Sus scrofa: one gene and its partner. The protein of the gene in region 1 interacts with the protein of each later gene in a biochemical or structural test. Links are inferred from orthologs where the notes say so. Each region holds a gene or a part of one and is shown on either strand. Other genes may lie near its edges.

Region 1 (3,806 bases):
GGGGCTGGAGGCAGGGAGCACCTCGCCCCTTCTCAGATGCCTGGTGGTTGTCCCGCCATGGAAGTACATCCCTTGTCCTCGGGTGGGTGAATCTGGGCCTCAGTTTCCTCATCTGAAAGATGGGTGGAGCTGGACTAGATCCTTTGGGACCAGCTCCGATGTCCCCAGATTTTGTAATTCTGACAGGAGGGTCCACAGAGAGCCAGGAGCTCTGGTGGGTCTGAAAGGGTGAACAGGTCTGTGAGCTGGGCTTGTTCTCAGCCAGTTTCTGTGCCCCGTCATGCCCAGGCCCCACCCCAGAACCTGGAAAGGGTAAGGGAGGGAGGGGTTCACAGAGACACGCCCCCCCACCGCACCCCTCCGCCCCGGAAACCAGCTGCTTTCCAGCATCCGTTTTTCCCTTCCCCCCACCCGTTGGCGGGTCCACCTTGCACCATACTCTGGCTCTCTAGCTCCTGTTGCTGTCTCGGGACAGGAGTCTGTGAGAGCTGGGCACTGGGGACCACCAGTTTCCTGCCTCAGCATCTTCCACCCTGCACATGAAGGTGAGAGGTGGTTTGAAGTTGAGTGATAATGATCTTGAATGAGTCCTTGTACTTCTGGGCCTGTTTTTCTGCAAAACAAGGTGCAGATCCCCTACCAGCTCTTTCCCTGGCATTGCTTGAGGGTTTGAGCAGACAGCAGGTATGAAAATACTCTGTAAACGTGAAGGCTTCAACACTCGAGCGAACATTGATTGGAAAGGGGGGACCGTAGCGTTTCCCAGCTTCCATCAGCATGTGAAAGGAATTAAGTCATAACATTGGGGACTTCGTTTTAGTCTTGAGAGAGGACCCCATTGACTTGGCGCAGACCCCTTGGGCCAGAGGTAGAACCTGGGAAGCCAGTTATGGAGCCTAGAGAGTTTTTGGGGTTTGGGTTTTGTTTGTTTTTTTTTTTAATGGTTTCTAATGATTCTGTGGATGTTGATCCATAGCACCTGCCCTTCCCTCTCCTCACTGGTAGGACAGCCTTCGACCGCAGCAGGAAGGATTTAGGGGTGATCAAGAAGATCGTGGCTCAACACAGAGATGGGAGGAGAAGTCCTAGAGGGTTGTGTCTGCCCTACAAGGGCCACCTGGTGTCCAGACCGAATGGAAATGTAGTTGTGAGAGCCTGTCTGTGAGCCGTGCCGGCACGTTTGTGCCTGCGGAGGGAGGAAGCCTGTGTGATGTGCTAAGTCAAGTTGACTGATACTTGTCTAACCGTGCAGAGCAGTGCGCAGAGCGTGGGATTCAGGAGCAGACAGACACAGTCTCAAACTGGACTGCCCTGCTCTAGGGCAATGCCTGACGCTTAGTAGGGGCTCAGGAGGGGGGAGCTCTTGGTGTTGTTGCCCACACTGTTGGGGGCACTTGTGGGGGGCTGACCTCACTGTCGAGTGGGCATAGGGCTGTAACCATGCGGAAGCCTCACGCCTGCCCTCTCTCCTGCCTCAGAAGAAGAGCAAGGTGCACTACCATGTGGCTGTCATCATCAACTACCTGGGCCACTGTGTCTCCCTGGTGGCCCTCCTGGTGGCCTTTGTCCTCTTTCTGCGGCTGAGGTGAGGAGCCCTGTCCCTGCTCCCTGTCCCCCATCCCACCTCCCAGAGCCTTGAGCAGGGGTGAGAAGAGGCAGGAGGCAGTTCTAAGCAGGGGGCTGCCAGGAAGGGAGTCCCCAGCCTAGAGCTGCCCCCTCACCCCAGTGGGAGGAGGTGACAGATATAGGTGTCCCAGGTCCTTTGGAACCTCTGGCAGGGCTGCTTCTGTACCCCTGCCCAGTGATTGCAGCAGAGAGGTGGACAGCCAAAGCCTAGGCTGGCCTTGTGTCACCCACACCCATGCCAGGCTGCCCCCATTTGGGAGACCAGGAAGGTGGAGCCCCCTTTGGGTTGGAACCTGCCTGGGACTGGCATGACTGCCAGGGATGCAGGTGGCAGCACCAGACGGGTCAGTGCCGGGAGTGGGGGGGTGGGAGCAGGGCCTGAGCACCAGGGCCGAGAGCTGGGAGGGAGGCCTCTCTCCGGAGGCCTTTCATGTTTTCTGACCCTCAAGCCTGGAGCTACAGGGAGAGAGGGGAGCTCAGGGGAGAGGGGCCATCCCTGGTCAGCAAGCAGCCCCTAGTCCCCATGGCATTGGCTGTGTGGCAGGCTCTGCCCTGGAGCTTAGGTCTGGATCCGCCACAGTTGGGAAGGGACCAGTGGGGCAGCAGGAGCGCCTCTGCTGCCACCTCCCAGTGGAACTTGGCAGGCAACGCTGCTCTGAGCCTCTGTTTCCCTGTCCATACACCTGGGCTGGAGCGAGCTGGTGGCCTCGCTCTCTCCTTCGCTTTCCTCCCCTTCCTCCTGTCACCCACCCTCCCTCGCTGCCCCCAGGAGCATCCGGTGCCTGAGGAACATCATCCACTGGAACCTCATCTCAGCCTTCATCCTGCGCAACGCCACGTGGTTCGTGGTCCAGCTCACCATGAGCCCCGAAGTCCACCAGAGCAACGTGGTGTGTCCAGGAGGGACGGGCCCAGGGGCAGAGGGAGGGTCTGGGTGGGGCTGTCCTGGAGGAGGAGGGGCCAGAGCCAGGCCTTGGAGCCCACAGAACAGGATTCCAAGGGGCAGGGGGTCCCCCAGGCCAGGTGGGCTGCTGCTGCCCCCCTACTCTGTGCCCCACTCCTGGCTCATCGTCACCTCTGATGGGGGTGGGTGGCAGGGCTGGTGCAGGTTGGTGACAGCCGCCTACAACTATTTCCATGTGACCAACTTCTTCTGGATGTTCGGCGAGGGCTGCTACCTGCACACGGCCATCGTGCTCACGTATTCCACAGACCGGCTGCGCAAGTGGATGTTTATCTGCATTGGCTGGGGTGAGCAGGCCACCCCCTGCCCCGGCCAGCCATCCTCTTCTTGCCCAGACTCAGGCCAGCCAGCTGGGGGCCTGAGACCCAAGCCAGGTTAGGGTGGTGGGGTGTGCACACAGCCCTCTGCCATTACTTGAGGGTGGGGATGGCGGGAACATTAGAAGGAGCCGTATTGGGTGAGTACTGGGGGGGAGGGGGCCTGCCGCCTCTGGGCACTGGGCTGCCCTGGGGTCCTCCAGGCTCTGCATCCCCCAGACCCCACCGATGGGTCCTGTGACAGCCGGTCTCTCCCCCAGGTGTGCCTTTCCCCATCATCGTGGCCTGGGCCATTGGGAAGCTGTACTATGACAATGAGAAGTAAGTTACTTCTTGGAGTTCCCATTGTGGCTCAGCTGGTTAAGGACCCAACGTAGTGCCCATGAGGATGTGGGTTCAATCCCTGGCCTTGCTCAGTGGGTTAAGTATCTGGCATTGCTGCGAGCTGCAGTGTAGGTTGCAGGCGCCACTCAGATCCTGCATTGCTGTGGCTGTGGTGTAGGTCAGCAGCTGCAGCTCCGATTCTACCCCTAGTCTGGGAACTTCCATATGATGCAGGTGCGGCCCTAAAAAGAAAAAAAAAATTTCCTGCCTTCTCTGCACTGCTCTGGGGGACCCCTGACTCCCAAGGAGGCCCCCAGCCCAGCTCTGCCTGACACTCCCCAGGGGGCGTCAGCCATGTCACCTTCCCTGTCAGGGCCCCAGTTTCCTCATCCATATAGGAGGGTGCTGGGAGTCAGACTCAATCTGAGGCTCCCTAGCAGTGCTCTGCCTGAGGTGGGGCTGGACAGGCAGGTCCAGGCTCTCTTTATCTGTCTCACAACAAGCAGAACAGCCTAAAGGCTACTGGCAATCTTTGGAGCCAGACCACCCAGTTTCCGAATCATGGCTCCACTGTT
Region 2 (3,896 bases), on another chromosome or scaffold:
GTTCAGCCAGGGCTCTGCCGCTCTGTTCACCCAGGAGGCTTCTTCTTCTATGAAGCAGGAGCTTGACACGTCAAGTAAACTTAGGGTTTCTCCCTGGTCCCAGCTAGGCTGAGGGTGCCTCGCTCCAGGGCGTGCCCCACGGTCTCGCCGCAGATCCCGCGCGAAACTGCCAGGCTCTCTGAGGAAGCGGCTGACGCCGGCCGCCCGCACCCCCTCCCCGCATCCCCTTTCCTCCGGCTTCTCCGGACTAGGAAAAGTGGAACCGGTTCCTCTTGGTGCCCGGAATCGCCTTTCATCAGATAGCCCTTTGCTAAGTTCCCGTCTGCACCTGAGGGTGGGACGCTGCTTCCCCTTACCCGGCTGACAGGAAAACCAGCCCGGAGTTCACTAACTTTGCGCTCCTCTGAGGGGGTATGCTGAGAACTCTGCGGAGTCTGACTGAAACGTGAGGAGACAAAGCCCGTCTAAACAGTGAACTCCGACGCCTCCACCCGCCTCGCAGCGCAGAGGCCTTCTTCACCGACTGCACGCCGGGTGGGTCCCACAGCTCGGCTCTTTCTCATGCCAGCATCCCGCGCCGGGAGGCTAGCGGCGCACGAGCCGCAGCACGAGCACTGGGCGCGAGGAAGACCACTATTTCTGCTCCAACACCCAGGTCCGAGGAAGTCTGAACGTCCTCAGTACAGCAACCCAGCGGGCCGCTCGGCCGCTGGGAGGCTGAAGAAACGTCCGCACTGGGCTCGCGGCCCTTCCTGCCAGCCTCCCCACTCCGGGCCTCGGCTCCCTCCTTTCCCGCTCCCGCCTCCTCTCGTAGGCTGCCAGGCGGACCCAGCCAGCCTCTTTCTCAGCCTTCACTACCGGGTCAAGCCGCGGAGGGAGGGAGCGGAGACAGCAGCGAAGCAGCTCCCCACCCGGCGCGCGCGCGCCCCTCCTCCCCCTCCAGCCCGCTCCCTCCCCCTCCTCTGCCCTCTGCCTCCTCCCCTGCTGCCAGTACATTACAACTAGTACGCGCGCACACATACACACGCACACGCGCGCGGACCCTGCCGCTGCCACTGCAGCTACCATGGATATCAGCTAACAACACACACTCAGGCGCGCGCGCGCGCGCTCCCACTCGCACCACGCAGGAGTGGCCCCCGGCATCCCTACCCTCCTTCCCCACCCCCACCCCACCCGCTCACCAGCTCGGCTACTGCTCGCACAGGCTGCCGTCGCCGTCGCTGCCGCCACCACCACCACCACCACCACCACAGCTCTTCTCCGCTGCGGGGCCACAGCCTTGAGTGTCATTCAAGGGACAGCACAACCTTACCCAAGCTCTCCTACCTCTGCCCAGCGGTCCCTGTCATCCTCCCCCTTCCTCGTCCACACTCCATCCAAAGAAGAGGGAAAGCACCGAACAGAGAGAGGAGCAAGGCAAAGTCTGCTCTTCTCACCTCTCGGCCCCCTGGCTCCTCCATCCTCATTCTCGCAGCACCAACTCCCCTATCCTAAAGGAAGCCCTCAGAGGCTGAGGCGACTCACCCCACTGCCATGTCCAAAAGCTTGAAAAAGAAAAGCCATTGGACTAGCAAAGTCCATGAGAGTGTCATTGGCAGGAACCCCGAGGGCCAGCTGGGCTTTGAATTGAAGGGGGGTGCCGAGAATGGACAGTTCCCCTACCTGGGAGAGGTGAAGCCCGGCAAGGTGGCCTATGAGAGCGGCAGCAAGTTGGTGTCGGAGGAACTGCTTCTGGAAGTGAACGAGACCCCCGTGGCGGGGCTCACCATCAGGGATGTGCTGGCCGTGATCAAACACTGCAAGGACCCCCTCCGGCTCAAGTGTGTCAAGCAAGGTGAGCGCAGCGGCTGGCTCTGTGCTTTGCCAGGAGGCTGGACCGCCCGAAGCGCGGGGCACAATAGAAGGGTGGGCTCGCGTGTGGAAGGGGGTGTGTTGCGCGACAGTAGGGTGAGGTCGTGAGTCCGGCAGAGCAAGTGAGCTTTGCCGGGGATCCGGGGGGGGAGGAGGGGGTCAGTGGAAGGGAGGGGCGGGTTGCGGTGTGGTGTGCAACTTTGTTTGCGCAGTTACCCCCCCTCCCCTTTGGAAGGTGTTCGGCCTTGTCTGAGCTCGGAGGTGCTGGCGAGCTCCTGGGACAATTGAATGTGCGTCAGCTGCACGGCTCGCAGTGGTTGTTGAGCTTTTAGGGAAGGAAGGACGGAAGGAAGGAGGAAAAGGCATGAGAGAGGAAGGAGCAAGTTGAAGGTGCAGTGGCATCATCAGCAGAGCCGGGAGGAGTAGGGGGTGGCGGGGCGAGTGGAGGACTGCGGGCTCCGTTTAGGGAGCTGGACCGAAGACGCCTCGGTCAGAAGCCCGGTCCCCTGGGGATTTCTGGGACGCTAGTTGACAGAGAAGAGAAAGGGCAGATTGCTTCGAGCGCTTTGACGGGTCTTCCTTAACTTTTTCTCTGCCTCACTCCTCTCTCCCCCCTCCCCCGCCCTCGGTCGCGTCATGTGGGCACCGCGCGTCACGTGCGCACTGACTAACCCGAGCGCTCACCCGGAGCTGGCCTGCGGGAGGTGGGTCCGGAGGGAGGCACCGCACTAGCTGCAAGTTCTAGTGTTGAGGGTCGGAGGGAGAGACGTGGTTACCGGAATGTTCTTTACAATGAAGTTGCCTTCTTTGAGTGGAAGTTCTCCTGGTTGGACTCTCCTCTTGCTTCCGATTGGGGGGAGGGGGGGCGTGTTTCTGAAGAGGAGCTGGAAAAGCCAGCTGGTTACAACTCAGACTCCTTCAGCTGCAGCCGGTTTAGACGAGCCTCAATTGAAAACTGCTGTTGGTGGGGACTTAAGGAAACTAGGATCTTGCAGAACTCTCACAGACTTTGCTCAAAAGCAAATTATAGTCCTGGAGGAGGAAAGAATGAGATAAAAATTTCTTGGAAAGAGGACAACTTCAGTTAAAGTAGCGTTATCTTTGTTTTCTACATGGGATTGCATACGTTTTGTAGTTCACATTCACATTTCATATGTGGCATGCATGTATATGTGCATATCACATCAATCTAAGGGTTTGTTATTGGTGATATGTTGTTTGTCCTGCCTTAAAGATGGAATTGAGTGGATCATTGCCTGCATTTTGAACAACTACTTAATTTTACTGCATGATTAACAATCAAGAAACATTCTTGGTTGAGAATGATAGGGAGATACTCTTCTCTGTAAAACCAGTTTTAGAAGTGAACCAGTGAAAAATGAAATTTCAGACAAACTTTCTTAAATGTAAATTGCCATTCAAAAATTTTTTTCTCTGGGGGAAAATATTAAGTATTAATAGCTGATGACGTATTAATATTGAGTATTAATAGCTGATGACTTGATAATAGCTAATGTGAACATTGACTTGTAGGTCAGCATAGCTCAATACCATATAAAACTGAAGAATATGAGTTTGATACTAAGGCAAATAGCATATCTTGATATTTTTCAAGATGACATCCCAGAGGCTCAAGTGTAGGCATTCATATTAACATATTTGATGTCATGATACTATCTTAGAGCAATAGGTATAAATGTAAAGTTTTGGTTTTGAGCCCAAAAATCTATAGCACAATTAATGATGTTGGTCTGGTTGGCAGCCTATTTGGTAGTGCAAAGTGGCTGCAAACTTCAACGCATTGTTAAATTGGGCTAATGATAGTATCCTAATAAGGGAGGTAATTCTATTATAGTTTGTAATTATGACCACATATTAATGTACTCATTCTAAACACTGCATTTTGAGATGGAGCTCTGCAAACTGTAACTCTAGCATCAAGAAAAGAAAAAAGAAAGGGAAATTTTTGGGGTATTGTCAATCTATATTCTATAAAATCCAGTGGAAAGACTCAGGTGAAGTTATGAAAACTATCATTAAAT

Evidence for each region.
Region 2: the proteins of CRHR1 (region 1) and MAGI2 form a complex in vitro, tested with the Homo sapiens proteins (2 studies listed by BioGRID and IntAct, with this or other methods). The link is inferred for Sus scrofa from reciprocal best matches to the Homo sapiens genes CRHR1 and MAGI2.

Annotation. Positions count from the first base shown.
Region 1 is NC_010454.4:17,257,510-17,261,315, reverse strand, and holds part of CRHR1 (corticotropin-releasing factor receptor 1), read left to right. Parts: intron 1-1,478; coding exon 1,479-1,585; intron 1,586-2,395; coding exon 2,396-2,877; intron 2,878-3,167; coding exon 3,168-3,228; intron 3,229-3,806.
Region 2 is NC_010451.4:100,845,676-100,849,571, forward strand, and holds the start of MAGI2 (membrane-associated guanylate kinase, WW and PDZ domain-containing protein 2), read left to right. Parts: upstream 1-1,017; 5' UTR 1,018-1,536; coding exon 1,537-1,837; exon of another isoform or gene 1,838-2,189; intron 2,190-2,526; exon of another isoform or gene 2,527-2,690; intron 2,691-3,896. UniProt on the Homo sapiens protein: Seems to act as a scaffold molecule at synaptic junctions by assembling neurotransmitter receptors and cell adhesion proteins. Plays a role in nerve growth factor (NGF)-induced recruitment of RAPGEF2 to late endosomes and neurite outgrowth.